5 linked regions of the Sus scrofa genome follow. The protein of the gene in region 2 interacts with the protein of the main gene of each other region in a pairwise test. Links are inferred from orthologs where the notes say so. Each region holds a gene or a part of one and is shown on either strand. Other genes may lie near its edges. The genes, in order: ZNF276, GCC1, CEP57, CEP70 and ATF4.

Evidence for each region.
Region 1: the proteins of GCC1 (region 2) and ZNF276 interact in binary tests that used the Homo sapiens proteins (3 or more experiments, as listed by UniProt). The two-hybrid records come from large-scale screens. The link is inferred for Sus scrofa from reciprocal best matches to the Homo sapiens genes GCC1 and ZNF276.
Region 3: the proteins of GCC1 (region 2) and CEP57 interact in binary tests that used the Homo sapiens proteins (3 or more experiments, as listed by UniProt). The two-hybrid records come from large-scale screens. The link is inferred for Sus scrofa from reciprocal best matches to the Homo sapiens genes GCC1 and CEP57.
Region 4: the proteins of GCC1 (region 2) and CEP70 interact in binary tests that used the Homo sapiens proteins (3 or more experiments, as listed by UniProt). The two-hybrid records come from large-scale screens. The link is inferred for Sus scrofa from reciprocal best matches to the Homo sapiens genes GCC1 and CEP70.
Region 5: the proteins of GCC1 (region 2) and ATF4 interact in binary tests that used the Homo sapiens proteins (3 or more experiments, as listed by UniProt). The two-hybrid records come from large-scale screens. The link is inferred for Sus scrofa from reciprocal best matches to the Homo sapiens genes GCC1 and ATF4.

Annotation. Positions count from the first base shown.
Region 1 is NC_010448.4:309,700-315,682, reverse strand, and holds the start of ZNF276 (zinc finger protein 276), read left to right. Parts: upstream 1-2,262; 5' UTR 2,263-2,408; coding exon 2,409-2,616; intron 2,617-5,983. Other genes in the region: VPS9D1 (VPS9 domain-containing protein 1), read right to left, coding at 509-584, 1,794-1,892. UniProt on the Homo sapiens protein: May be involved in transcriptional regulation.
Region 2 is NC_010460.4:20,699,389-20,705,525, forward strand, and holds the start of GCC1 (GRIP and coiled-coil domain-containing protein 1), read left to right. Parts: upstream 1-2,296; 5' UTR 2,297-2,719; coding exon 2,720-3,751; intron 3,752-5,613; coding exon 5,614-6,137. UniProt on the Homo sapiens protein: Probably involved in maintaining Golgi structure.
Region 3 is NC_010451.4:27,836,005-27,841,400, forward strand, and holds part of CEP57 (centrosomal protein of 57 kDa), read left to right. Parts: intron 1-842; coding exon 843-1,022; intron 1,023-1,387; coding exon 1,388-1,509; intron 1,510-4,940; coding exon 4,941-5,057; intron 5,058-5,396. UniProt on the Homo sapiens protein: Centrosomal protein which may be required for microtubule attachment to centrosomes. May act by forming ring-like structures around microtubules. Mediates nuclear translocation and mitogenic activity of the internalized growth factor FGF2, but that of FGF1.
Region 4 is NC_010455.5:79,354,760-79,360,155, reverse strand, and holds part of CEP70 (centrosomal protein of 70 kDa), read left to right. Parts: intron 1-68; coding exon 69-194; intron 195-2,544; coding exon 2,545-2,635; intron 2,636-2,759; coding exon 2,760-2,883; intron 2,884-3,182; coding exon 3,183-3,363; intron 3,364-5,396.
Region 5 is NC_010447.5:8,741,591-8,747,615, forward strand, and holds ATF4 (cyclic AMP-dependent transcription factor ATF-4), read right to left. Parts: upstream 4,163-6,025; 5' UTR 3,264-4,162; intron 2,692-3,263; 5' UTR 2,600-2,691; coding exon 2,374-2,599; intron 2,278-2,373; coding exon 1,418-2,277; 3' UTR 1,374-1,417; downstream 1-1,373. UniProt on the Homo sapiens protein: Transcription factor that binds the cAMP response element (CRE) (consensus: 5'-GTGACGT[AC][AG]-3') and displays two biological functions, as regulator of metabolic and redox processes under normal cellular conditions, and as master transcription factor during integrated stress response (ISR).

The sequences.
Region 1 (5,983 bases), on a different chromosome or scaffold from region 2:
GACGCCCATCTCGAAAGGACATTCCCCAAGCCCTTCCCTGCTTCCACGTCCAGACAGACCCACCACTGCTGTCCTCATGGTGGGAGCTTCCTGGGGACTCTGCTGCCAGGCTGGCCTTGCCCCGCAAAGCCTCCATGAGCCTCCCTCACGCCAGAACAACCCCAGGTCCACGCAAGGCGCTGCTTGCCCCAGCTGCACCTTCCTCTCTCCAGCCTGGCACCCCCCCACCCCAGGGCCTCTGCTCAGACGCTGCCCCACCCCAGCCTCTGTGCAGCTCACTCCCTTCTGGACTGGGGTTCCGCATCCAGTCTTGCTTCCACCCCAGCCCATCTCCATCCTCTTAGTCACACTCAGGCTTCCTGAGCGCTCAGCCACCCAGCCTCGGCCAGTGACCAGGCAGGTAGGACACAGGACACGCCGTGGTGAGCCACAGACCCTGGGGCCCATCAAAGGCTAAGCCGTCCACCGTGTCCCTGGCCCAGGAGGAGCTGCAAGGTGGGCACTATACCTTTGGTGGCTTCCACTTCTTCCAGCAGCACCTGGGCGATATAGTGGACGCTCCTCAGGTATTCGGTATATGCCTCCTGTGCCCGGTGAAGGGAAGTGGCAGGGGTCAGGCCAGTGGAGGCAAAGAATTCCATCGTGCCTGCCCGGTGCCCTTGTGGAAACACAGGGAGAAGGGTGCCTGCCCTGGCTTCACGTGCTCAGCTGGCTGGCTGGTAACTGCTCACCCTGAGGCACAGAGTCCCCTCTTCTCGGGAGGTGACGCTGGCATCACTCCGTCATCTCCCACACAGGAAGGAACTCAGGCTCTCATTCAGTGGCCAGAGGAGGCAGTCTTGGCAGCTGCTGCATTTTTCACTCTGTGCCACAAGTTTTTTTCCTGTGCAGTTCAGGGGCCATTCATTCAGTGGGCTTAACAAAAATATTTCCTGGGAGGTGAATCAGGGAGTGATACTGCAAATCTCAATCATTTTCTGGCTTAGGTTCTGGGAAATCCCTTTTCTGAGCTCCAGAATAAGTACTTCCTGGGCATCCAGGGGTCTGGCACTTTCAAGTTCAGGGCTTCCTGACAGCTCACGCATGTAGAGCCAGAGCAGGGTGCTTTGTTTTGTTTTGTTGCATCCCGGTTCTTAAATTACCCACCTTTAGGTCTGCACCTTAGATATCAGGGTAACACGGATTGCTGGAAGGATTTCTGACTTGCGGGGACACTTGATGCCCTAGCATCCCAACTTACGGACAGCAGCGAATGGAAGCCGGTCCCAGGTACCCGCGGCCTCCTTCCCTCCTTGGGACGCCTGCTGTGGCTCGGCTGGCTGGCCCAGACGGTCGCCGCCTTTCGGATTAACACCTGTTCTTGGGGACCAGCCACACCCCTCCCCCGCTGGCATTTTCTTTCGAACAAGCCCTGAAGGCGACTGCAACGCCGCAGTTAACCTCTTTTGGATTCCGTCCCCTTTGGGAACCTGACTGATCTGCAAGGTCCGCCCCCAACAAACGCATATACGGGACTGCCTGCCAGAACACTCTGGCGGGGGCTGCCTCACCAACCCTCCTGGGTCCCCTTCACAAATGAAAGCGCTTCAGCTCCAATTCCCCCCTCGCCCAGCTGCCGGGAAAACAGGCCCGGAGCCGGCGGGAGCTGTCCAAGGTCACGGCCGAAGCCGAGCCGGCAACCCTGAGCCGCCGGAAGGGGCCTGGGGGCGCCCACCCCGCGGCCCCGCCCTCGCCCACGCCCACCGGGCCGGGGCGGGTCGGCGACCGCCCCCACCCCGCCCCACCCGCCTCACCCGGGGCCGGTTGCCGGTGTCCAGCTCGATGGCCCCGTTGGCCAGCTTCATGGCGCACTGCAGGGGCTTCACCGCGCCGTCCCCGGCCGCAGCGGCCATGGCGCCGGCGGGAGAGGCGGCGGCTGCGGCCGCGGCCGAGGGGCGGGGCCGGGGGCCCGGGGCCCGGAACGCCAGACGCGCGGGCGCAGGCTCCGCCCGAGCCCCGGACCGCCGGAAGAAGCGGCACCGTCGCGGGCGCACTTCCGGCGGCCCCGCCCGCGGCGCGCTGCGAGGTCGGCTCCTGGGGCCGAAGGGGAGGAGGCGCGGGCGGCGGAGCTCTCAGAGAGCTTCGCGCCGTCGCCGAGGGCGTCTGAGTGCCCCCGGCCGGCGGAGACGGGCTCGCCGCGCAGGCCCCGCCCCTTGGCCGCCGCGCTCGGCCCGGCCCCGCTGTCCTCCCCCCGCCCCTCCCGCGTCGCCCCGCCCCTTCCAGGGAGCCGGGCGCTGGGGAACGGAAACAGGCGAGCACCGTCCAGCGGGGCGGACGGGAGGCTCCGGGCCGAGCCACCCCGAGCCCTGCCTCGCAAACAGGCCGGCTGAGCGAGCGGGCCCGAGCGCCGGGGCCGGGCCCCAGCAGCCATGAAACGGGACCGGCTCGGCCGCTTCCTGTCGTCCGGGCAGCGCGGGAGCACCGGCGGCAGCAGCTATGGCGGTGGCCGGGCCCGGGGCCGCCCCGCCCGCAGCGGGCCGACCGTGGCCGAGGCGGCGGCTTTGGTGGCGGCGCGGCTGAGCTGGGGCCCCGCGCGGGCCTGCGCGGACGCGGGCGAGGACGGCGCCGACGAGGCAGGTGGGTCCTGCCTGCCGGGCTTGAGGGGCGGTGGGGCCTCAGCGCCCCCCCCCCCCCGCCCCGGCCCAGGGTGTCCCCGCTCCTCAGAGAGCGGGCGGGGCCCCCCCTGCCGAGGCGTGGGGGCGGCCTCCCCGGCGGACGCGGTAGCCTCCGCGGGGAGAAGTTTCGCAAGACAGCTGACCCTCGGCGCCGACTCTGGGCGCGCTGAGTAATTGGTGCTCGAAGGAGCCGTCGGGCAGGTCCGAGTTTCACTCCTGGTTTGCCCCGTGCTGTGCAGCCTTGAGAAAATTGCTTCATCTGTAGGGGCCTCAGCTTCCTCTTCATCGAAGCAGAACTAAGAGTGCCGGGTTCCCTGCCTGGCAGGTGGTACGGGCGTTAAAATGTACTTGGCCTGCGTGTGGTACTTTTGCCCCTGGAGAAGGGCTTTTGCTGCGCGCATTTAATCCTCCCGGGGGGCAGGTGGCATCGCCTGCACTCGCAGACAGGACACCTGGGGAAGCAGAGCTGCACGGGCGTCCTCACGTCTGGTCGCAGGAGGGTCGTGTGAGGAGGGAGAAGTTTTCAGCTTAGTTTATGAAGTTCCGTAACCATGGAGGCATTTATTTACTCAAGAAATATGTACTTATTTTTTGTAAAAAAATGTTGAGGTCTAATTGCCATAAAACATGGTAGTGGTTGCAGGTGTACAATGTAATTGATGTTGTATTTGTGCATGTGGTGAAATGACCATAATGTGTCTAGTTAACACCCATCACCACGTGTGATTCCAAGTTTGTTTTCTTCTGATGAGAACTTTTAGAATCTGCTTTTTTTTCTTTTGTTTTTTAGGGCGTCACCTGTGGCGTATGGAAGTTCCCAGGCTAGGGGTCCACTTGGAGTGTGCTGCCGACCTGCATCACAGCCAAAGCAAGACGGGATCTGAGTCTGGTCTGCGACCTACGCTGCAGCTCATGGCAACACCGCATCCTTAACCCACTGAGCAAGGCCAGGAATTGAACCCGAGTCCTCGTGGATGCTAGTTAGGCTCGCTTCCTCTGAGCGCCAACGGGAACTCCTTTTAACTTTTTGAGGAGTCTCCCTACTGCTTTCCATAGTGGTTATACTGGTTTAGCTGCCCACCAGCGGAGCGTGGGGCTCCCTTTTCTCCACGTTCTCACCTGCATGTTGCTACCTTCTGATGGCCCTTCTGACGGGTGTGACGTGGTAGCTGATGGCGGTTTTGGTTTGCATTTCCTTGACGATTAGGGATGTTGAGCATCTTTTCATATGTCTGCCTTCTTTGGAAGAGTGTATATTCAGATACTCTGCTCGTTTTTAAATTAGATGCTTTGTGTTTTGCTGTTGAGTCCTGGGAGTTCTTCACCTGGGCTGGATATTAACCCTCATCAGGTGTACGACTGGTCAGTAGTCTCTCCTGTTCGGTGGGTTGCCCTTCAGTTTGGGGATGCTTTTCTGTGCTGTGCCGCGGCGGCCCCATTGGTTTCTTCTTGCCTGTGGTGTCAGTTCAAAAAATCACCCCGTGACGGATGTCAAGAGTTGCCCTGTTATTTTCTTCTGGGGGTTTAGGGTTTCCTGTATCTCACGTCCTTCATCCCCCTTGAGTTGCAGTGTGGTGGTAGAGTGGTCTGGCTGCACTTTCTGCACGCAGCTGTCCAGCGTTCCCAGCATCACTTACTAAAGAGACTAGTCTTTCCCCGTTGAATGTTGTTGGCGCCTTTATCATAAATCAATTGACTATATATATATACATGAATTTATTTATTTATGTATTTATTTTTAATATATTTTTAAATTTTCCCACTGTACAGCAAGGGGGTCAGGTTATCTTTACATGTATACATTACAATTACATTTTTTCCCCCACATGAATTTATTTTTTAACTGTTTTTTTTTTTGCCTGTGGCCATGGCATGCACAAGTTCCCAGGCCAGGGAGTGACAGTGCCAGATCCTTCACCCACTAGGGCACCAGGGAAGTACTCCATGAATTTGTTTCTGGGCCTTCTGTTCGGTTTCGTTAGTCTGAGTGTTTTTTGCCAGTCCCGTGCTGCTTTGATGACTGGAGGTTTATGAGATAGTTTATAGTTGAAACCAGGAAATGTGGTATTTCTGGCTCCTTTCTCTGGAAGGAAGAACTAGAAAGATCTTCTAGGTCTGGTTGCCTCTGTTTTTCTTGCACAGGATTGCTCTGGCTTTTCGGGGTCTTTTCTTGTTCTATGTACGTGTGAAGATTGTTCTGTTTCTGTGAAAAATACCACTAGGGTTTTGGTAGGATTGCATTCCACTTGTAGGTGGATTCGTAGGCTGTGGAACATCTGTCCGTTGTTCATCTCGTCAGCGTCCTACAGTTTCGGGTACAGATCTTCACCTCTTTGGTTAAACTTATTTCCAGACGCTTTATTCCTTTCTGTGGCCAGCCCATGGCACGTGGAGTTCCTGGATCCCTAACCCACTGTGCTAGGCCAGGGATCGAACCTGGATCCTGGGGCTGCGGAGACACTGCCAATCCCATTGTGCCACAGCAGGAACTCCAGTGATTTATTCTTTGTGTTCTCTTGATTTATGATAGTTTGTTATTAGTGTATGAGAAATCAGCTGACTTTTTTGTGTATTGGTTTTACATCCTACAGCTTTCCTGAATTAGTTTAACAGTTTTTTGGTGGCGTCTTCTATACATAATGTTATCTGCAAAGAGAGATAGTTTTACTTCTTTATGATTTGGGTGACTTTTTTCTTTTTCTTTCTCTTTTTCTTTCTCTTTTTCTTTCTTTTTTTTTTTTTTTTTTGCGATTTCTTTGGCCACTCCTGCGGCATATGGAGGTTCCCAGGCTAGGGGTCGAATCGGAGCCGTAGCCACCAGCCTCCACCAGAGCCACAGCAACGCAGGATCTGAGCTGTGTCTGCAGCTGACACCACAGCTCACAGCAGTGCCAGGTCCTTAACTCACTGAGCGAGGCCAGAGCTCGAACCTGCATCCTCGTGGAAGCCGGTAGAGTTCATTTCCACTGAGCTCCGACGGGAACTCCTGGCCTGTAGTTGTCTTTTCTTGTGGTTTCTTTGCTTGTCTGGCTTTGTTATAGCAGGGTAATACCGGCCTTGTCTTGGAGTGTTTAGAATGCACCGGAAGGTTTTCTGGACCTAAAGGCCCTCCCTGGCCATGTCTCCCAAAGGATGTATATTTAGCTGGGAGCTCGGAAGCGGTCTGCCTCTGGCCCAGACATGGACCAGAAACTTGTGTTTAAGGGGCATGGAGGCCCCACTCCAGGAGCTGAGTGGCTGGAGGAGCCTGGGCCTCACCTGCCCTGGGAGCCGCGTTCTGCCTGCTCTGGGCAGCAGGCAGCCTCCCCGCTGACTTCATGTTTCCTGTG
Region 2 (6,137 bases):
CAACCTTTCTGAAGCTCCTTCCTCAGTTTGAAAAGCGGAACCTGGATTTATTATTTTTTTTGGGGGGGGGTCTTTTTAGGGCCGCACCGGCGGCATGGAAGTCGAATCAAAGCTACAGCTGCAGGCCCATGCCACAGCCACAGCAACGCCAGATGGAGCTCTGTCTTCGACCTGTACCACAGCTCACAGCAACGTCGGATCCCGAGCGAGGCCAGGGATCCAACCTGCGTCCTCATGGATGCTAGTCAGATTCGTTTCTGTTGAGCCACGAAGGGAACTCCAACCTGCACCTTTAATGCATAGCTAGCTAGCATTTTGTAAGGCTGAAGAGCTTCATGAGCTATTTTCCCACTCACCTTAGCATCTGAGGGGAAATAGCAAGATAGGAATTAATTTAAATTTCTTTTATGGTGGAGACTGGGTCACCTAATATATGCTTAACAAATGCTGGCTGGATTGAATGGACTAACTGATTGCTCAGTGGAGCATGGACAGGTGTTTTTGCCTGTTCTGGATTCCCTTTGGGCTTCTAGAATCAATCCCTATGGACTGGACATGGTGAGGTGAGCTGGGAATCAGAGAACGTTCCTTCCTTCCTTCACTCATTAAACAAATATTTATTGAGTGCCATTGTTCCATGCCTCAGTTTGAATCTCAGTTCTGCATTTTTTTTTTTTGAGGGCTTAAATTCAACAATACTCACAACCTGTCATTTTCTCATCTATAAAAGGAGACTATCTGTCCCAAGTTACAGTGAAGAATGAGATGATAAGATAATGTACCTGAATTTTTGTTTGATGCAGCTGGATATTATCTGGGCCACCAAGAAACTGGGTCTGACCAGATTTCTAGTATCGGGCCCATCCTGACCCTCAGTCTGTAAAGAGAACAGATGTTAGGCACCAGGAATGAGTGAGTACCTGACTCTTTTTTACTCTGCATTCCTAAGAAGGCTTTTACAAGGTTGAAGAGCACATTTCAAAGAATCCAAATATAACAACACAGCTACTGGTGACCAAGTCAGATCAGTTCTACATCTTTAGCTCTTTTAATTAGCCTCTTTCATCCTTGTTGTCACTGCTCTATTTCACTACCATCTTATCCCCATGACTGAAAATAGCCTTCTATACCTCGGTTTCTCCACCTTGTCATACAAGATTTGATGATGCCACTCTTGTGATGAAAATCCTTTAGTGTCTTATTACCCAAGATAAAATCCAAATGCCTTAATTTGGGTCCTCATCTACTCTGCCAGCCCCATCTGTTGCCACCTCCTTCACAAAACCTAAGCTACTGCCTTGAAATGCTTCCCAGTGCTTCCCCGGGAGGACCCAGGCTCTCTGATGCCCTAGGAGTCCTTGTACGTTTTCCTCTCTGCCTGGAATGCTTCCCTCCTCTCCGGTTAGATGGGCAATCAGTATTCATCATTCAAATCTCAAAATAGTTCCCCTGAGAGGCTTGTCTCCTCTAAACAGGCCTCGCTCCTCTTAACTTCCATACCCCTTTGCATATAATTGTGTTTGCACATCTGGTTTCTCTCTAGATATGGGTTCCCTGAGGGCAAGACCTTCTCTCTCTCTCTTTTTTAAAATATATAATGATTTTTATTTCTTTTTCATTATAGCTGGTTTACAGTGTTCAAGACCTTATCTCTTCAAGGTGATCATCTAGCACAGCATTTGATATGTGGCGAGTGGGACTGATCTTGATAGGATTCTAAACTTACTGGCTGTGTGTGACTTTGGGAGTGTCACTTAACCTCTCTGTGCTTCAAGTTTCTCTATAAAATAGTGCTAATAATACCCATTCAGCAGAATTACTATAAAGACTAAACAGCAAAATTCCTGTGATCTTCCTGCAATATATTTGGCACTTAGGATGGACAGCGTGGCTATATATATTTCTCTCTGTTGAATAACCTCAGAACTCAGGAAGGATGCTAATAATTATTATACTGTACGCCTACTGGGTTCCAAATACTGTCCTCGAAAGGGTTGCCATTTTCATGGTCTAAATGGGAGTCTTAACTGTTGCTCTTTAGGGGCAAAAGTATTGAGCCCCCAAACATCGTCGTTTACCCGGGTTTTTGGTAAGGACGCGGTGCGACGTCGTCCTGGTCCCTCGCTAGGGCAAAATCAGGCGCCCTCACCAAACCAACATCACTCCTGGGTACCCGATTTTACTTGCTCTGCTCTAGCCAGGAGCAAACAGCTGGAGGCCCAGCTGAACGGCCTCCAGACCGCCGGCTGAACTAACCCCGCCCACCTCGCGCTCACTGGGGGCGGGGTCTGATGCGTCACGCTGTCGTCACTTCCAGCCGGACCCGGAAGCGCTGTTGACTCGTGGCTAGAGTTAGGAAGTCGGGATGCGGCTAAGCTCAGCTTAAACCGTCGGCTCCTGGTGCCGGCGGGGCACGGAGCGGCTCTGGAACAGTGGGGCCGAGCCCTGGCAGTGTGTTCCTCTGGTGAGCTTTGGCAGTCTGTTCCTCTAGGATAGGACCAGCCCCCACCCTCTTGTCAGGGATCTGGCGGACGCTTCTGCCTGGCTGCCCCGCCGCGCCCCACATTCGGTGTCGAACAGCTGTGAGGAGCAGATGTGCGGCCGGGGCGGGGGGGGGTGGGCAGTTCTCTCCCTGTCGCTCACAGCCCCCGCCAACATCTTCGTGACCCTCTCCCAGCCTGTCCGAACGCTGTCGTAGAGCAAGCCGTCCTGAACCGTCATGGAGAAGTTTGGGATGAATTTCGGGGGCGGCCCGAGCAAGAGGGACCTGCTGGAGACCATTGAGACGCAGAAGAAGCAGCTCCTCCAGTACCAGGCACGTCTCAAGGATGTAGTCCGCGCCTATAAAAGCCTGCTGAAAGAGAAAGAGGCGCTGGAGGCCAGCATTAAGGTGCTGTCGGTATCCCACGAGGCGGATGTGGGCCTTGCAGGTGTCCAGCCCCAAAGCCTCACCTTTCCCGACTCTGTGGATGATCGATGCTCCACTCATAGCGAAGACAGCACTGGGACCGCCACCAGCTTGGATACTGCCGCCAGTCTCACCAGTACCAAGGGTGAGTTTGGGGTTGAAGATGACAGACCGGCCTGTGGACCACCACCTCCAAAGTCCGAGGAGGCCAGCGGGTCAGAGAGCGGCGTTAGCAGTAGCAGTGGGGATGGACCGCCTGGAGGTGGTGAGGTGGACAAACGAGTGCACCAGCTAAAGACTCAGTTGGCTACTTTGACCAGCTCTTTGGCCACAGTCACCCAGGAGAAGTCCCGCATGGAAGCTTCTTATCTGGCTGACAAAAAGAAGATGAAACAGGACCTAGAGGATGCCAGTAAGAAGTTAGAGGAGGAGAGGGGCCGTCTGGAAGGAGAATTGAAGGGGCTGCAGGAGCAGGTAGCAGAAACCAAAGCCCGACTTATCACGCAACAGCATGATCGGGCCCAAGAGCAGAGTGACCATGCCCTGATGCTGCGTGAGCTCCAGAAACTGCTGCAGGAGGAGAGGACTCAGCGCCAGGACTTGGAGCTTCGGTTGGAAGAGACTCGAGAAGCTCTGGCTGGACAGGCCTATGCAGCCGGTCAGGTGGAAGGGTTTGAACTGCAGACCAAGCAGCTGACCCGTGAGGTGGAGGAGCTGAAAGGTGAGCTACAGGCTCTTCGAGATGAGAAGAATCGGCCGGACCCCCGACTGCAGGAGCTTCAGGAAGAGGCCGCTTGCCTTAAGAGCCATTTCCAGGCTCAGTTGCAGCAGGAAATGAGGAAGGTAATTATTAGTCATTTAGCCTGGGAAGTATTAGGGCTTTTTTTTTTTTTTTTTTTCCCTCCTTTGGTAGTTAGAATTAAGTGGCTACACTGTGGATTTTTTTTTTTTTTTTTTTTGCTTTTTAGGGCCACACCTGTGGCATATGGAGGTTCCCAGGCTAGGGGTCTAATCAGAGCTACAGCTGCTGGCCACAGCCACAGCAACTCGGGATCCCAGCTGCGTCTGTGACCTACACCACAGCTCACGGCAACGTTGGATCCTTAACCCCCTGAGTAAGGCCAGGGATTGAACCCACATTCTCATGGATCCTAGTAGGGTTCGTTAACCGCTGAGCCGCAAAGGGAACTCCATGCACTGTGGATTTTTGATGCCATTCAAAAAGTTTCACTTGTGAGTCCTGGGAAATCCTTTTCTGTGTGTGGTGGTGTTTTTCTTTTCCTTTCTTTTTTCTTTTTTTGGGCTGTGCTCGAGGCATGCAGAGGTTCCTGGGTGAAGGGATCAAACGTGAGCCACAGCAGTGATAATGCTGGATCCTTAACCACTAGGCCACCAGGAAACTCTGTCTGTGTGGTGTTGACAGTTTCTGCAGAATGTGCTTCCAACAGGATGTGGAGTTCCTGAGTGTAGGCTGGATTGGAGCCAGATAGCGCTGAGCGTCTGGGCATTGGCATCTTACCAGCTCTGCTCTTTGAAGCAGTGCAGTGGCAGCTGCGCAGTGAACGATAAGAGTGTAGCAGTGTATAGGTAGCAGTGTATGGCTTTAGGTAGGGTGGCTGAAGGGGGTAAAGGGATTTTTTTCCAGAAGAGATCACCTCTTATATTGCTGGCAGTCAACATTTGCCTTTTCTGGAAAGGTATGCTGTTTTCCAATGTCTCCTTTCAGTGTGGGGAGAAATCCAAGTCAATTTTATTTTATTTTATTTTGTCTCTCTCTGTTTTTAGGGCCACACCCACAGCATATGGAGGTTCCCAGGTTAGGGGTCCAGTCAGAGCTGTAGCCACCAGCCTATGCCAGGGCCACAGCAGTGTGGGATCTGAGCCGAGTCTGTGACCTACACCACAGCTCATGGCAATGCCGGATCCTTAACCCACTGAGCGAGGCCAGGGATCGAACCTGTGTCCTCATGGATGCCAGTCAGGTTCGTTAACCACTGAGTCACGACAGGAACTCCCCAAGTCAATTTTGAACTTCCAGGAATATTGGAAAAGGAAAAGAATGTCATATGGTTTCTTCATGGGATTTGGGGAAGCACACTTTGTGGGAGCTTGGCCTATGGGAGGAGAAAGCAGAAATAATAAGCAAGGAGTTCCCATCGTGGCACAGTGGTTAACGAATCCGACTAGGAACCATGAGGTTGCGGGTTCGGTCCCTGCCCTTGCTCAGTGGGTTAATGATCCAGCGTTGCCGTGAGCTGTGGTGTAGGTTGCAGACGCAGCTCGGATCCCGCGTTGCTGTGGCTCTGGCGTAGGCCGGAGGCTACAGCTCTGATTCAACCTCTGGCCTGGGAACCTCCATATGCCGCGGGAGCGGCCCAAGAAATAGTAACAACAACAACAAAAGACAAAAAGACAAAAAAAAAAAAAAAAAAAAAAAAAAAGAAAGAAATAATAAGCAAGACAACAGCAGATCTACGAAGGTCCTTACTATTGTTTAGTACAATGTGTGTCTGGGAGCAGACCCCAAGCAGGTTATAGGAACTTGGGTTAGCTCCCAAATGAGAAGAAAACTTCCCAGTTCCCATTTTATCAGGCCACCCCCATCCCGTGACCCTTCTGCAGCACCTTCTCTTGCCTTCCCAGAGTTTGCCATCAGGCCTTGTGGCTTCTTTGGATGCACTTCCATCTGTTCCCTTGTTTTCCAGACAGCCCTGGCCGAGGATCAGCTACGCCAGCAGTCGCAGGTGGAAGAGCAGAGGGTGGCAGCCCTGGAAAATCAAATATCCGAGGTGTCAGAACTGCTGGGCACCTATGAGAAAGCCAAGCAAAAAGACCAGCTGACCATCCAGAAGCTGAAGGAGCGCATTCTGCAGCTGGACCTGGAGAACAGGACGCTGGCGCTGGCGGCCTCCAGCCGGTCCCCTCTGGACAGCCATGGAGAGGAGTCCAGTCTGGATGTCAATGTCCTAAAGGACAAGATGGAGAAGCTGAAGAAGCTGCTGCAGGTCGCAGCCCGGAAGAGCCAGGCGACCTTGGACGTGGAGAAGCTCTGCGACCTGGAGATAATGCCCAGCTCGGAGGCTGCCGACGGGGAGAAGGCTACGGCGCTCTACTACCAGCAGGAGCTGAAACAGCTGAAGGAGGAGTTTGAGAGGTACAAGGTGCGGGCTCAGGTCGTCCTCAAGAGCAAGAACACCAAAGACGGGAACCTGGGCAAGGAGCTGGAGGA
Region 3 (5,396 bases), on a different chromosome or scaffold from region 2:
GATAATCATTACCTCTCGGTAGTAGGATTATCAAGTCATCCTTCTGTTAGTTGTATTTTCCTGTGTTTTCTACAGTGAATATGTATTATCTTTTTTTATGTTACTATTATAATCAAACCTTCTGAGGGGCAGAATGCTTATATTTTTCCTAAATAATAAAAAAAAAGAGGAAAAAAATAGTCCTTTTTGTACTTGACTGTTTTAAGCTCTATAATTGGATTTTGTGATCCTATTAGTAAAACCAGAAAGATGGATTGTTAATAATGTATTTCGGGACGGTTTTTGAATTTTATACAATTAGTTGAATGTTTTTAACATTTTATAAAATCTTTGAAGTGTTTTTACCATGGCATTGTGCTTTTTACTTTAGTAGCTAGCACATTTCAGAGACTCAAAAGATGCCCTTAAATGGATTTTTTAAGCAATTATCATGTGATAATAATTAACATTGTATTGTTCCCAAAGCATGAGCTCCACTGTACCCACCTGTCAATTTAATTTTTTTTTGTAGTCTCTTTAGGGCCGCACCCGTGGCATATGGCGGTTCCCGGGTTAGGAGTTGAATAGGAGCTGTAACCGCTGGCCTGTGCCAGCGGCCACAGCATCGTGGGATCCAAGCCGCGTCTGTGACCTACACCACAGCTCGTGGCAACACGGGGATCCTTAACCCACTGAGCGAGGCCAGAGGTCTAACCCTCCTCCTCATGAATGCTAGTCGGGTTCATTAACTTCTGAGCCACAGCAGGAACTCCTTAATTTTTATTTTGATGTTATTTGTTTTCAGTGAACTATATATAACAAACTATAAAATATCTTATAGTAGACATGTTTGTATTTGGCAGCTATATTTTCTGCTTTGAAGAATCTTCAAGATAAAATTCGACGTTTAGAACTTGAGAGGATTCAGGCAGAAGAAAGTGTGAAAACCTTGTCTAAAGAAACAATTGAATATAAGAAAGTACTGGATGAACAAATACAAGAAAGGGAGAATTCAAAGAATGAGGAATCGAAGCACAATCAAGGTTGGTTTAATTTTGAAGGAAATGAAACACTATCAAAACAATTATTTAAAATTATTCTGAAAGAAATTCCACATAGGGTTTTCTAGTGCTTAGTATCTGGAGGTTAATTTTATGGGTCATGATAAAATTACATTTTGCTCAGGTGCGTTTTGAGGAACAAGTGCTAATGTCCTGTGTTAGACTGACTGAATTCAGGGCAGATTGGACTAACATACAGAAACAGGCTTAGAGCATCTGAAAAGGGCTTCTAGAGCGCCTGGAAAATATTTGTTATATATGCTGTAGATTTATGTTAAACAGCTTGTTAAAACTAAAACTGTTCTCTGAGCAAACTAATTTCTGCTTTTCTTATGTATTCTTTTTAGAACTGACATCTCAGTTGTTAGCTGCAGAAAATAAATGTAATCTTTTAGAAAAACAATTGGAATACATGCGTAATATGATAAAGCATGCAGAAATGGAGAGGACGTCTGTATTAGAGAAACAGGTATGTCACTTCACAGAGTCAGTCTCAAGAACAATTAAAGAGAGGAGTTCCTGTCGTGGCTCAGTGGTTAACGAACCTGATTAGTCACCATGAGGCTGCAGGTTCAATCCCTGGCCTCGCTTAGTGGGTTAAGGATCCGGCGTTGCCATGAGCTGTGGTGTAGGTCGAAGACGCGGCTCGGATCCCGAGTTGCTGTGGCTGTGGTGTGGGCTGGCAGCTACAGCTCCGAATTCAACCCCTAACCTGGGAACCTCCATATGCCACCAGTACGGCCCTAAAAAGACAGACAAAAAAAAAAGAGAAATTAAAGAGAAAATTAATGTAAAGACATTTTTTTCTCAGTGAGGAGTAATACTGCTGTCATAAACAATTCTTCTATCTTAAAAGATAATAGTACCAATAGTTCATTTTGAAAAACTGCTAGTGGAAGCTTTGAGAAAAATGTGATTTTTTTCTTTAAGCAAAACTATGAAGAGGAGTTTCCTTTGGGGGAGCTCCTCACACGTACTGCCGTATTCTCTGCACTCAGCTTTGATAGCTTCTGCTTGTGAACAGTGTTGACAGCCCAGGACTGAAATTACTCGGGATCAGTTATGGTGTCCAAAAATTTGTTTTGTCTTCATTGTTATTGCTGTATTTGATAGAGTTTTACTTAGAGTTTTTACTAAACTATACATTTAGTTGTGTTTTCAAGTCATGATAAATTCTTTCATACATTATTAAAAGTGTAAATAAGCATGTTATGTACCTCTCTACCCCTTGAGTTTGTTAGACTCAGCACATTTCAGGGTGATTCATACTTTGAAAAAACTCTCTACAATTGTTATTTTAACAAAAATATTTTGCTGTTTTCACACCAGAGGTATTTTTATTTAACCTGCAATATCAGTCTCAAATATATTTTTAAAAGCATATCTCCTTTTCCTATTAGGAACCTAGAATTTGAATTCCTTATGAATATCCCAGTTTCTAGCCATCTTAACTTTATGATGCAAAAGTTGACTGTTTATATGCTTAACATTTCGCTGGATACCATGCAGTATGAAAGAAATTAAATGCTTTCCACCTCAGTCAACTTTGCATCATAGCTGGAGATGTTAGACCTAAAAGAACAGTGTGAATGATAGCACAAGAACATTTTAAGTAGATATTTCAATAATTAATTCTCATGTGTGCTACAGGTCTCTACTATGCCACTGAATTTATTTGTGATCATATTTTTTTGTTTCCAGTTGGGTCCTCTTCAGCCCATCTATTTTTGTTGTTATTTTAATGTACCATTAAACTTTGGTTTTTATTTCCTCCTTTTATCTCTTTGAACACTATAAAAATTCCCAGTCTTGGAGTTCCCCAGTGGCCCAGCAGTTAAGGATGCAGCATTGTTACTGCTATGGCTTGTTGTCACTGCTGAGGCTCAGGTTTGATCCCTGGCTCAGGAACTTCCTCGTGCCATGAATGCAGGGCCTCCCCCCACCCAAAAGAAATCCCAGTCGTCTTTAAATTAACTGATTTTTCTTATGAGAACTGTATATGTATGTTTACATATTTTTTATGATGAGCCCATATTCTTTGGAATTATTTATATTGGGAATTCCATTCTTCTAAGTTGAGTAGGCAGCCTTATAAAGTGATGGTAGATTTGCCTTTGCTGAGGATTTCTGGGTTTCCCTGCTTCTGATCTGCATTTATGATGCCTTTTGGCTTGAGATTCATGAATTGGGCAGATGGTACCTTGTGTGAGATTTATGTCATAGTCCTGGTATGCCTTATACAGCAAGGCTAGTTTTGCCTCATCTAGTATTTGGCTTCAGTATTTGTTCAGTTGCTTTTGAATTCTTTATTTATTTATTTTTTGTCTTTTTGAGGGCCATACCCGTGGCACATGGAGGTTCCCAGGCTTAGGGGTCCAATCAGAGCTGTAGCCGCCAGCCTACACCACAGCCACACCAGAACTAAGCCACGTCTGCGACCAACACCACAGCTCACAGCAACACCGGATCCTGAACCCACTGAGCAAGGCCAGGAATCGAACCCGCAACCTCATGGTTCCTAGTCTGATTCGTTTCTGCTGCACCATGAGGGGAACTTTATCTTTTTTCATCTGCAGGTTTCCCTTTCTTGTCTTCAGATTTCCTGTGTAATTATTATTTCTGTGTTTTGTCTAATATTTTATGTGATGGGATGGGAAAGCAGATGGTCAGCTCAGTCTGCCACATGATTGGAAATGGTAAAACATGATGTACAGTAATATAGCAGCTGTCTTCATGGGGATACTCCAGTTCTCAAGTTAGAAAGCATCCATGAGACAACAGTGAGATGTCTTGACTAACACATCTATTAAACATATATATGTCTTTGAACTAAGCCCTGTTTTCATCATTCTATTTTGAATAGCCTGTTTAATAAGAATACTGAAAGTAAAATATGATTTTTGCCAATTTTTAGCTTAATGTATTATTTTAAGGGCCGTATCTATCTACTAAGGTGATAGGGAATTAATAGTTCACATAAATTCCTGAGAAATTTATTGCTTTATATTACTTGTCATATTCAGATTTCTGTTAGTAGGATACCACTTGCTATAGACTTGCTGTATATGAGCTCACATGCTTAGTGTTTTGGCTTTTTACCAGTAGACCCCAATTTCACATATTTCCTCTTCTTATCCTAGTTTAATGGTATATTCTGTGACTATCAGTCCTTAAATCTGATAGGTTCCAGTCTTTTCAAATCATTGACTAAACCTAAAAAAAAATATGGTGGATGCTTTGCATAGAATTCAGAGGAAGGGGAATTCTTGTCGTGGCACAGTAGGTAACAAATCCAATTAGGAACCATGAGGTTGCGGGTTCAATCCCTGCCCTTGCTCAGTGGGTTACGATCTGGCGTTGCCGTGAGCTGTGGTGTAGGTCGCAAACGCGGCTCAGATCCCGCATTGCTATGGCTCTGGCGTAGGCCAACGGCTATGGCTCCAATTGGACCCCTAGCCTGGGAACCTCCATATGCTGTGGGAGCGGCCCAAGAAATGACAAAAAAAAAAAAAAAAAAAAAGAATTCAAAGAAAGTGTAAATGATAGATACTAGAACTGTAATTATTGCCTTAAGAGGTTAACTAATTAAGAGAACCAGACTACTTTTAAGTATTTGTGTGTAGCCTGCATATCTAGTAAATGCCCGCTGTCACAGAGCATCATGAGTCTCACTGCAAGAAACCAAATGTTATGAGAGGAATATCATAAGAATGGGATTGATTGCACTTGTATTTATTGGTGTTCCTGTGGTTTCATCTTAGTATTGTTTTCTTAGAATTCCTTTGTAGTATCTGAGTGATTCTATGAAAGGCCAGACAAATAGTGTACAGCATCGTACTCTCAGTGTTGGTTTTTCAGTTTTTTGTCAAATCATCATGCTGAATTTATATTGCTTCCTAGGTTTCCCTAGAAAGAGAACGGCAACATGATCAAACACATGTTCAAAACCAGCTTGAAAAATTGGATCTTCTTGAACAGGAGTATAACAAGCTTACCACAATGCAAGCCCTTGCAGAAGTCAGTGAAAATCTCTTGTACTCATCAGTGCATAATTTAGTTCTTTTGTAAAATCACTCATTGTATAATACTGGATATTTTATAGGGCAAAGAGCAACTTTGTAGCAAAGAAACATGTAGGATTTTTTAAAAAGAGGAAATGTTCATATTTTACAATCTTAATGTACATAAGGAAGGGGTTCTTTTTGAAAATGTTGACAGATTATGTCAACATTTGACAGAAAATGTTGTTGAAAATGTTTTTGAGTACCCTTAAGGCTTCTGTTCAAGTTATTCTCTGTACTAATTTTAGTTTTAGTTGAGCCATTTGAGAAGTACTTAATACCACTGAGACTATAA
Region 4 (5,396 bases), on a different chromosome or scaffold from region 2:
TGCCTATGAGTAGTAGGTTCTTTTCAATACCTTTTTCTTTTAATGCTCTTTTTTCTTTTTTAATTTAGGCAACTCACAATTTTTTATTGCCAGTCTTTATGTCTTTTGATTCTACAAAAGAAACTGTATCTACAGCAGCCCCTAAAGCCCAGGAATCCAGCAAATCATCAACCAGTGTCATGACTGAAAAACAGGTAAACTTGAAATATTTGAAACCAGTGTTTTTCATAGTATATGTCAAAGAATCCCACATTTACAAATGTGAAAAAACTTAATAAAGCCTTCTTTAATAAAATCATCTTGGGAAATGATGGGTTAAAGACTATTACATGATAGCAATATTCTAAGATTTCACAATACCATCAGTCTCCAAAAGCAGGCTTTAGTATATAGTATTTCCTACTTACTTAACACTAATCTGATGAATATTTCTGTAGACTGATGTTATGTAGCACATACTTTGGAAAATGCCATTCTCAACTACTTTCAGAATTTGGCAACAGTTATGTTATTCTTTCTATTTAAAGAGCTATCAGGGAACAATATGTGTAATTTGGTCATTCACAGTGCACAACATTATTTATAGAACATTTTGTTCTTACGAGTCATAGTAGACATCTACTTGTATATCCACACAGAGCTTTTGGCTCCTAAACATATAGCAGCAGTAATTGTAGTTGTGTGTCATTAATCTTTATGATTAGAAGATATAAATAAGGGAAAATGTTGTTTGGCACTGTGAGTCATAGTGCTATCAGAGAGTCATCAGAATAATTTTTTAAATTGAAGTATAGTTGATTTACAGTATTATGTTAGTTTCAGGTGTACAATGTAGTGAATCCGTTTTTTTTGTTTGTTTGTTTGTCTTTTAAGCTGTGTGCACGGCATATGGAAGTTCCCAGGCTAGAGGTCCTTAGAGCTGCAGCTGCCAGCCTACACCACAGCCATAGCAACTCCAGATCCGAGCCTCATCTGTGACCTACACCACAGCTCACGGCAATGCTGGATCCTTAACCCGCTAAGCGAGGCTGGGGATTGAACCTGCATCCTTGTGGATACTAGTCAGGTTCATTACCACTGAGCCACAACGGGAACTCATGAATTAGTGTTTTTATAGATTATACTTCATTAAAAGTTATTATAAGATAATAGCTATAATTCCATTGCTATATGATATATCCTTGTTGCTTATCTATCTTGGTACACTTTTAATGTCTGAGGGGCATATGGATGTGGAGAGTTGTAATACTTTTATTTGTACTTTCAAGAATTATCTAAATTTTTAAACTTAAAGCTATTGTAATATTTATATACTATACACTAGTAAAAGTGTATAAAATGTATCTTTAGGCATTTAAATAGATTGAAAATTCACTCAAATTACCTTTTCACAAATGTACTTATGTTATACCTATACTACATAAGATAGTTAAGGTATTTTAAAAAGCACACAAAATACTTCACACAGTGATTTCAAAATTGAGCTTTATACTTAAAGAGCCCATTATAAAAGTATTAATATCATGGATTTAAATGTGTCATTTTATTTTATTTTTATTTATTTATTTTTTGTCTTTTTGCCTTTTTCTAGGGTCGCTCCCGCGGCATATGGAGGTTCCCAGGCTAGGGGTCTAATCGGAGCTATAGCCGCTGGCCTACGCCAGAACCACAGCAACACCAGATCCTAGCCACATCTGCGCCCTACACCACAGCTCACAGCAACACCGGATCCTTAACCCACTGAGCAAGACCAGGAATCAAACCTGCAACCTCATGGTTCCTAGTTGGATTCATTAACCACTGAGCCATGACGGGAACTCCTAAGTGTGTCATTTTAAAAAGTCATTTCTGTTTCTGTTTTCAGCTGTATATCATATTCTTATTTTTTTTTCCCATTTTTAGGTTTTTATTTACTTAATCTAGAGAGTTAGAGTTCCCCTCTCAGGTTTATGGTATAAATACACATTTAGAATCAGAAATACAAATCTTGAGTGTCTTTCAGAATGATTCTACTATAATCATTACCTAGATGGTGAGGTTCCTTTTCATAAGTTAGACCTTGTCTACTCTACAAGGAACTGTTTAAATTATTGGCTCTGACCAGTCAGTTACAGTTTGATTTTCTTGGACCCTAGTCATTGTTGAGGTGACACTTGTTTCTGAGTGACTCACCCTTCCTTTACTATTCAGTTAAACTAAAACTGCAAATTAGATTGTATTATTTTGAGTGGGGCCTGGTCTGGTTCAGTTAAGTCAAAAACCTAAGGTCTGTTTGGTTCATTGAAATTACCAGTTTTTTTGTTTAATTTATCCACCAAAGCCTATATATAAGTATTCTGGAATTACATAATGTAATTATGTGTGCTTATTTGCATCCTTTTTGTTTGCCAATTTTGTTTTAATTTTAGTCATTATATGTGTATAAACGTTCATACTAAAGCTTTTGGAGAAAAAGTCTGTTATTCTGAAAACAAAGGAAATTATATATAAGAGAGTATTTCTTCACTTTAAGGTTGATTCATTTCTCTCTCCTTGTAATTGTAGCGGGAAGAAGAAGAATGGGAAAGCATAAATGTGCTGTTGATGACACATGGCTTGAAACCGTTATCTCTAGTTAAAAGAACAGATATGAAAGGTAATCAGATCTTAACTGTTTTTTAAGATTAAAAACATTTCTCTTTGCTTTAAAAATTTTTGATCTTAAAATTTTTTTCCTCACCTTTATCTTTACTATGTGTATTACATTTCAAAAAATGTAGATCTCATCATTTTTGACAAACAGTCATCACAAAGGATGAGAGAGAATTTAAAAACTTTGATGGAAGAAACATCACGTCAACAGAACATGATCCGGGAGCTCATAGAAACTAATACGCAGCTTAAGTAAGAAAATGGAAAAAAAAAATCTCTTGAATTGTTTCTGTTCAAGTGGTATGCATTCTAAACCCTTGAAAAGAATCTTGAAATTTAATTTTCCACTTTGGTTAAATATTAAGTTAAAAAGTATTTTTGAAAGGTAAGTAGGTCTTTTACTTAGCTTAGATATGTAATGGTTCCCTATATTTCTTCTGTTGGTTTGTGTTATAAGAAATTTTATAAACTCATTATGTTGTTAGATGGATATGTTTGTTGGAATGATTTATTTTTATTACTAAGAGAAGGAATTGTTTGTCTGTTATTAGAAATGAACTTCAGCTAGAACAGAGCCGAGCAGCAGATCAGGAACAACGAGCTAATGATTTGGAACAAATTATGGAGAGTGTGAAATCAAAAATTGGTGAAATGGAGGATGAATCTCTAAATAGGGTTTGCCAGCAACAGAATAAAATAGGAGAGCTTCAGAAGGAGCATAAAGCTTTGCAGGTACTGAGTTACGCATTTTCTTACAGGATTGTGTTGAAACAGCTTGTCAAGGTCATAGATGACTTCTATGTTGCTTAATTCAGTGGTCCTTATCTTACTTGACCTATCATTGTCGTTGCCTTGAAATTCTTTCTTTGCTTGGTTTCCAGAACATCCTCTCTTCTGGTTTTCGTCTGACCTCACTGGTTATTCTTCACCTTCTTTGCTGATTCTTCTCATCTTCCTAACCTCTTAGTGTTGAGATTTCACAATTCATTCCTTAGACCTTCTCTCTTTTCTATAAATTCTAACTCCTTTGGTGATGCTCAGTCTAACTCACAGCACCTTTAAATCTATAGCCCAGACTTCTTGTCTTAATTAGAGTCACATCCTTCATCATATTTGATATCTCTATTGGATGTTTAACAGGCACCTAGAACTTACATGTCTGAAACCGAGTTCCTGAATTTCCTCCTCAAACTTTCTTCTTTTGGTCTCCACTCTGGTCCAAGTCACCTTCATTTTTCTCCTATTTTGGTCTTAATACGATTTGGCATCATGTTACCTTCTGACTTTAATACTGTACCTCTTGCTTATTCTGCTCCAACCACATTGACATTCTTGCTTTTTTTTAGCATTCTCACCTCAGGGAATTTGTGGGGTGTTTTTTTGTTTTTGTTTTTGGCTTTTGTTTTTTGCTTTTTAGGGCAGTATATGGAAGTTCCCAGGCTAGGGGTCCAATTGGAGCTGCAGCTGCCAGCCTACACTACAGCCACAGCAATGCAGGATCTGAGCCTTGTCTGCGACCTACATCACAGCTCACGGCAACACCAGATCCTTAACCCGTTGAGCAAGGCCAGGGATCAAATCTGCATCCTCATGGATCCTAGTTGGGTTTGTTACCACTGAGCTACAGTGGGAACCCCAGTGTATGCTTTTTTAACAATTGCTGCATGGTTTGTAATTTCTTACTGAGGTGTTAGATCACCATCTCTCAGGGATTCCTTTTTTGACTACTCTACTTACATTTGGCACTCATATCAGCTGCATCTGTGACCTACACCACAGCTTGTGGCAACACCAGGTCCTTAACCCACTGAATGAGGCCAGGGATCAAACCTGCATACTCACAGACACTATGTCAGGCTCCTAACCCACTGAGTCACAATGGGAACTCTTTTGCAGACTAGTCATGTATTCCGTTCTATACCAGTCAATCTGTGCTTTCTTGAAGATGAAAGTGCTCCTGGAAAACAATTATGGTACAGCTTGAAGCATATTCTCTTTCCTTTTTTTTTTGTTTTTGTTTTTGTTTTTTTTTTGCTTTTTAGGACCATATCAGCAGCATATGGGAGGTTCCCGTGCTAGGGGTCTAATCGGAGCTGTAGTCACTGGCCTATGCCAGACCCACAGCAGTGCCAGATCTGAGCCTCGTTTGCGACTTACACCACAGGTCATGGTAACTCTGGATCCTTAACCCACTGAGCGAGGCCAGGGATCGAACCTCATGGTTCCTAGTCAGATTTGTTTCCACTGAGCCACGATGGGAACTCCATATTCTTCTTTTTTTTTTTTTTTTTTGGCATATGCTTCTTCCAATTTTAGAGTGGTTTAGTGCTGCATATTTTGCAGTTGAGAGAAAGGAAACATTGATTTTTGTATATATGTGGCTAAGAGATCAAGAAAAATAACATGTTTGACCATAAAAAGATTGTTATTGAGAGATTGCTGGGAAAATGCAGAAACTAAAAGACAACTTGTATTTGCAGTTTCTATGTTCTGCAGTGCAGTTTTCCTTTTTCTGTACTTAGACCAATGTGTTAATTTCTTTGGATATAGTTTGATAAACTTTTGGGCCCTCTAAAGTTCTAAGCAGCTAATTTTAGTTTTAAGTCAGTGTAATCAGATCAGAATGTCTGTCTTTCTTCTTTCTTCATAGGGAATATATGGATCAGGAAACTGATTTTTACTGTTCTTTTAGTGTTTACCTCAAATATTAAAATAAGCATTCTTTTCTTGCCAAAATCTAATGCTACTTTATAATTTTAACCTTA
Region 5 (6,025 bases), on a different chromosome or scaffold from region 2:
GGAATTGACATGAAAACCCTGATCCTGCCCTGGAAACCGCAAACCCCCCCCCGCCCCGGTCGTCTCAGGAAACGGAAGCTCCAGCCTTCTGCTTTTTCTGGCATCCGTCTCCTTTCTCACACCCCGATTCCAAGCCCGCTGACTGACCGGCTCAGCTGGCCTCTGCTGCCCACGCTGAGCCCCGCCAGAGCGAGGCTTCTCGAGCAGAAGCCAGCTTGTCCCTCCCGCCCCCGAGGCTCCCCAAGTCACTCAGCTGACGCTCAGTTCACACGCTCCACCCCAGGCCTCTCCTCCCGGCCCGAAAGTGCGTCCTGAGCAGGTCCTCCCTCCTGCTGTCCCGTCAGGTCTGTTCACTGGCCGTCTCCCTCGCAGAAAGGACAGCAGAGATGTGTGTTCTCACCACTGAATCCCCAGCCCTCAAAAGGGTCTAGCACACAGTGGATGCGCATGAATCTTTGCAGAGACATGAAGGCTATTTCCCGACCTCCAAGACCTGCGTCCTCAGAAAGGCAGCAGGGGCCTGGCGATGGACCAGGAGCACCCCCACCTCCACCCCCGCCACCAGCGGTAAGACCCAGCCCGCCTCTGCCCTTTATCAGCCCACAGGGCTCCACGTGCAGGGGGCTGGGTCTCACTCCAGTAAACATACATTCATAGCCGTGCCTCGGAACGCTCAGGAAATGGTTATAAAGCTGCAATTTCTTCCTCAGGCACTGCTGCAGGTCTTGGAGATCAGGGCACGAAGTGACTGCAAAACTGGGTGTCAGAGCAGGAAATAAACATGTATACACGTCAACTGGAGAAAGGACCATGGGGGGGCAAATGAGCGGGAAAGGTGAGGGGCGGAACACCAGCAGTCACTTTGGATGGCCTTGGGAGTGACACTGGAACCTTGCAGGAGTTGAGGAACCAACGGGAAACCCTTGCAAAACAGCAAGTGCTGAAGCTGAGGCCAGGTGAGCTCACTGGGGCACAGGAAGTGAACGGCAGAGGCCCCTGCCTCCCGTCTTTTGGGTCTGGGGAGGACTTGGCTGCAGGGACCTGTGGAGAGGCATGCACACATACTCTGGCTTCAGACACCCTCACCTGCACTGCCCCTCACAGCAACCCAAAAGGGCTTCCTTCTAAGCCAGAGTGGGTCACCCAGATTGGCAATGAATGACTGGCATGAGCCTCATCAAAGAGGGCAGGTCACTTCCAGGGCTGCTCTCAACTCACCACACCCCCTCCTCCTGCCCCCCCACCCCATTGTCTGCTGAGTTGAGGCAGAGGGAATTACGGAGCGTTTGCACTTTACTTCTGACCCTGGTGAGAAAAGTGGCTCCAGGGGGGATTGACTGGAACATTTATCTGAAGAAATCAGTCATCAGCAGTACGTTCACTACAAAATAATTTATTGCAACACACAGCTAAAGCCCTAGCCTATGTACAAGCACATGCACACCCCTGCCCGGCAGCTAGGGGGCGCGTTTCTTCCCCGTGCCTTGCGGACCTCTTCTATCAGATCTTTGAGATACTGAATCTCCTTGGCCAAGGAATCTGCCTTCTCTTTCAGAGCTTCGTTCTTCTTTTCCAGCTCTTTACATTCGCCAGTGAGGGCCTCCTGCTCTGCCCTCTTCTTCTGGCGGTACCGAGTGGCTGCTGTCTTGTTCTGCTCCATCTTCTTCAGCTTCTTATCTAGTTTCTCACCCTTTACTTTTGCTGCTACCACCTTCTCTCCAGGAGGATCATAGGGTTTGGGCCGGACAGAACCACAAGGGGCCCCGGGAGAGAGCAAGCTCCTACTTGGAGAGGCCCTGGAGGTGGAGGGACTGTGCTGGGGAGAGCCCAGATAGGAGTCAGGGCTCATACAGATGCCACTGTCATTATCTGAGGGGGCATCCTCTTCCTTTATGCATTGAGGAATCAAGGTAATGTAAGTAGTGGAGTCTGGCTTCCTATCTCCTTCCGAGATTTCCACTTCACCCTGTATCTCTAAACTAAAGGAATTATCTGGAGTGGAAGACAGGGCCCCTGGGGAAAGGGGAAGAGTTTGCAAGAACGTAAAGGGGGCAACCTGGTCAGTTGTTGGTAAACTTTCTGGGAGATGGCCAATTGGGTTCACTATCTGCGGGGGCTCCTGGAGTGGGGGGTCAAAGAGATCACATGTGTCATCCAACGTGGCCAAAAGCTCATCTGGCATGGTTTCCAGGTCATCTATACCCAACAGGGCATCGAAGTCGAACTCCTTCAGATCCATTTTCTCCACCATCCAGTCTGTCCCGGAGAAAGCATCCTCTGCAAGAGATTTAAGAGGGACGGAACCCAGAGTCAGATGCACGCGGCAGCAAGGCTTTATCACCAGACCCCACCGGCAGGGAAAAGCCCACTCACCCTTGCTGTTGTCTGAGGCACTGACCAACCCATCCACAGCCAGCCATTCGGAGGAGCCCGCCTTAGCTTTGTCGCCGGAGAACCCATGAGGTTTGAAGTGCTTGGCCACCTCCAGATATTCGTCTAAGAGCCCTAAGCTCTCTTCAGCCCCCAAACCCGACGGGTCGAAGGGGGACATCAAGTCCCCCACCAACACCTCGCTGCTCAGGAAGCTCATCTCGGCCATGTTGCGGAGTTTTGATGGAATCGAGGAATGTGCTTAATTCGAAGGTGTCTTTGTCGGTTACAGCAACGCTGCTGCTGAATGCCGTGAGAAGCCTTAACAGGAACCAGAAACCAAGCCCCATTAGAGAACAGCTGGTCTGAGCCTTTCGCCTCTCCACCCCCGGGGCAGGACGGCCAAATCCCGACCCCGTGTGGTTGTTGAGACTTGGGGGCCGCTGGCCCCGGCTGCCAACCTTCCCCGCGTCCGCCTGGCGGCGCAAGATGGACGCCCGGCCGTTCCCCGACCCGCCACCAGAGGAAGGCGCCCGGTCCTCCCGGCCGAGTCCGGCCCCGCCCACGCCCGCCCGTGACTCACGCCGCGGCCGCCGCCCTGCCCCGCCGCCATCTTGGCTGCTGCCACGTTTCGTGGAGCCCCAGGGGGAGCCCCGGCCCCCCGGCCGGGGCCGGAGGTACCGAGGACTTCGCCCCACGCCCGAACAGCGCAGCGGCCTCTCGACCCAGGGGCGCTGGCGCTTCGGCGTCACCCCATCAGCGGCCACGCGTCCCGGGCGCTCGTAAAACCGCTTCCCCCTCCGCGACGCCGCCGGACCGCGCCCCAGCATCAGACAAGAACCCTTCACCGACCCGGGGGGACACGGCCCAGAGCGTCGGGCCCCGGTACTTACGCCATGGCTTAAGCCGCTGGGGGGTGCCGCTGCAGAGCCTGGTGCTGCTGCCGCCGCTGCAAAGGCCAATGCTGCCGCAGGCACTGCTGCCTCTAATACGCCATGGCGGCCGCGGACCCTGCGGGAGCGGAGGAAGAAAAGCGCCCACTCGCAGAAAAGGACTACATCTACAGCGGAGAGGAAAAGAAATGGCGGCGGTTCGCCGAGCGCGGGTCCTTTATAGACTCTGCCTCTGTGGGACGCATCACAGAGAATATTCTTCCGCCTAGGTCACGTGACCAGCGCCTCCCACCCACGCGCTTTCATTTAACCGACGCCCCTACCATTTCCAGTCTCTGACTTTTATGTCGAGGGCGAAACTGTGAGGACCAAATGAGTTACTTTTATTTACAGCCTCAAAAAAGGGCGCACTACTTTACAAGGCTTTTGAGATCTAAGGATCACCACCGTCCGCTGCCGGGATGCGCGGAAGGATCTTGCACAGCTACTTCCGGTGCTAGCCCGAGAGGCGGAGACGAGTCTTTCACCCCAAGAAGGGCTTTTATTGTGAAGTACGAGGTCTCCTGGTTATCGCGCGAGCTACTGGCGGAGAGCGCGCGTCGAAATGATTGGTTAGGCATGGTGAGTCATATATACATCGAGTTTCTATTGGCTCAGGCTCCGAGGCGGGCGGGTTGTTCAGCGAGGGAGCCCCTGATCTGCGCGGGAAGGTGGGTGAGGTTCCCGCCGCCGGGCCCCGGCGTCCTGCTCGCCGTAGCGCCGCTCTGCAAAGGCTCCCTCAGCCCCGCCCACCCAGCTGGCCTTGATTGCCCCGGGCAGCCCTGGCCCAGATCCAAATAGTGGCGTTAGGTCCGAATCCTCGTGGTCCTTTCCTGCCGCCCTTGGAGAAGCTCCGAACTAGGGACCGGGTTTAGGCCCGAATGTGAAACTAGTCAAGAGTAAATGTTATTTCGTCTGTTTTCACTTGCACACACTTGCAGAATACTGAGGACGTGTGAACCCTTCAGTAACTGGAAGGGGAGACTGATGACCTCAGCTGAGATCCACCTACCATCAAAGGCCTGCTCTGCGTCCTGACTCAACTCTGTAGAGGCGAGTCGAGTGGAGGAAATCCATAATCCTGTGGTCTAAACAATTGTATTTTTACATATCCATTCTGCTAAAATACAAGTTTCCTTTTATGTTAAAGAATGAAACCTATGACAGGGGAACTTCTTTCAGTTTATGTAGTTTCACTTCCCCTAAAAATGAGGTATTTTATTTAGCTGCTCTTTCTCACTCTAGGGTAGTTTCAATTATTTACCAACTCTGTAACTCCGCGGCATAACCACTTCCCAGCAAGTCCTACTGCCTGGGTGCTTGATCAGACCTGCCCACTTAGGGGAATTTGTGTGTTTGGAGGCCACAGTCCAGGTTAGGGCCAGTAACTTGCCCTCTCTACTGGGGAACTGTCAAGAGCTAGGAGAAAGCTCTTTCACCATCTTCCAGTCCTCCAATCAGGCCCTGTAGGGAAACCTTGAGTTTCCACTCCCCTTCATTTCAGTGGGCCCTACAAATATTATTTCTATGAGGACAGTGAGGTCAAAAATTGGTCAGGCACTTCCTACATAACAACTAACCATTCATTGATTTGAGTCAGTCTAGCCCAACCATTTCTTTACAGTGGTAAGCTGATGACTAAAGGCATGACATGTCTTGCCTGGTGTGGGCAGTATGGGGTAGGAGTTATGACAGATTTAAGGGCCAATTCCAAAAAATCTTGGCTTTCCCATTTATTAGTGGAGACATTCTGGTTAAGTGACTTACCCCCACTGAGTCTTCGTTTCCTGATCTGTAAAACGAGGCTAATGATGGGTATCCTCATCCTTAGAATGAAGTTAAGATAATATATTCACAGCACTGAGCCGTGCGCCTGGTACCTGGTAAGTGCTGGATAAATGGTTGCCATTACTCCTGTGACTAGAACGCAGGTCTTCTAACCCACCTCCCATCCCCATCATATCCTGCTCCCTCAGAGGACTGTTATTTACTGAGATGAAATCAACAACTATAAACAGCTGGTCTAGGAAAGCATACTGGATACTAGGTATGGTTTTTCTTTCCCCTTGGGGAATCTCAATTCTCTGGAAACATGTACAAGGCATCTGGTCTTTTGGTGCAAAGACAGTAAGAATCCCGAGCCACTACCCCCGAGCCACTACCCAAGTCTTCCAAAGGTGTCATTAAGGAGCCACGGGGCATGTCCTCCTCTCTGCTGTATGGGAGACTTGTCAGTGCCTCTTGATGGATGTCCATGCAGATGCTTAAGAAGTAAAGTAACACTGCCCCAATTGGACACCGTAGGAGTGGAATAACCCCATCCGTTCTATTATGGAGACCCCAAGCAAGCACTCTGATGCACCAGTACCACTCACGTAGGAAACTATTTCCCACCACACACACGAGTCAAAGCTGTTGGAAAGGAGACGTTTCTTTTCTTTCCAGGTTGTGGAAGGGCAACGTGTCCCCCAGCTTTATTTCCTCCCTCAAGGAGAAAAAGGATAGTAGTTTTCTGGGTCTTGGGGCTAAGCTGCTTCTATATGGACAAAACAAGGAAGACTGATGACTGATTCCAAATCTATCAGCTAAACACATCAACTGCTCACTGAAGGGCAGATTAGTGACTGGGAGGCAGGTTGTGGACTTGGTTGCAGGGGCCAAGAAAATACAGATTATGAGGCGATCAGAAGGAAAAGGTAAACAAGCTGCATGCAGTTAACTCC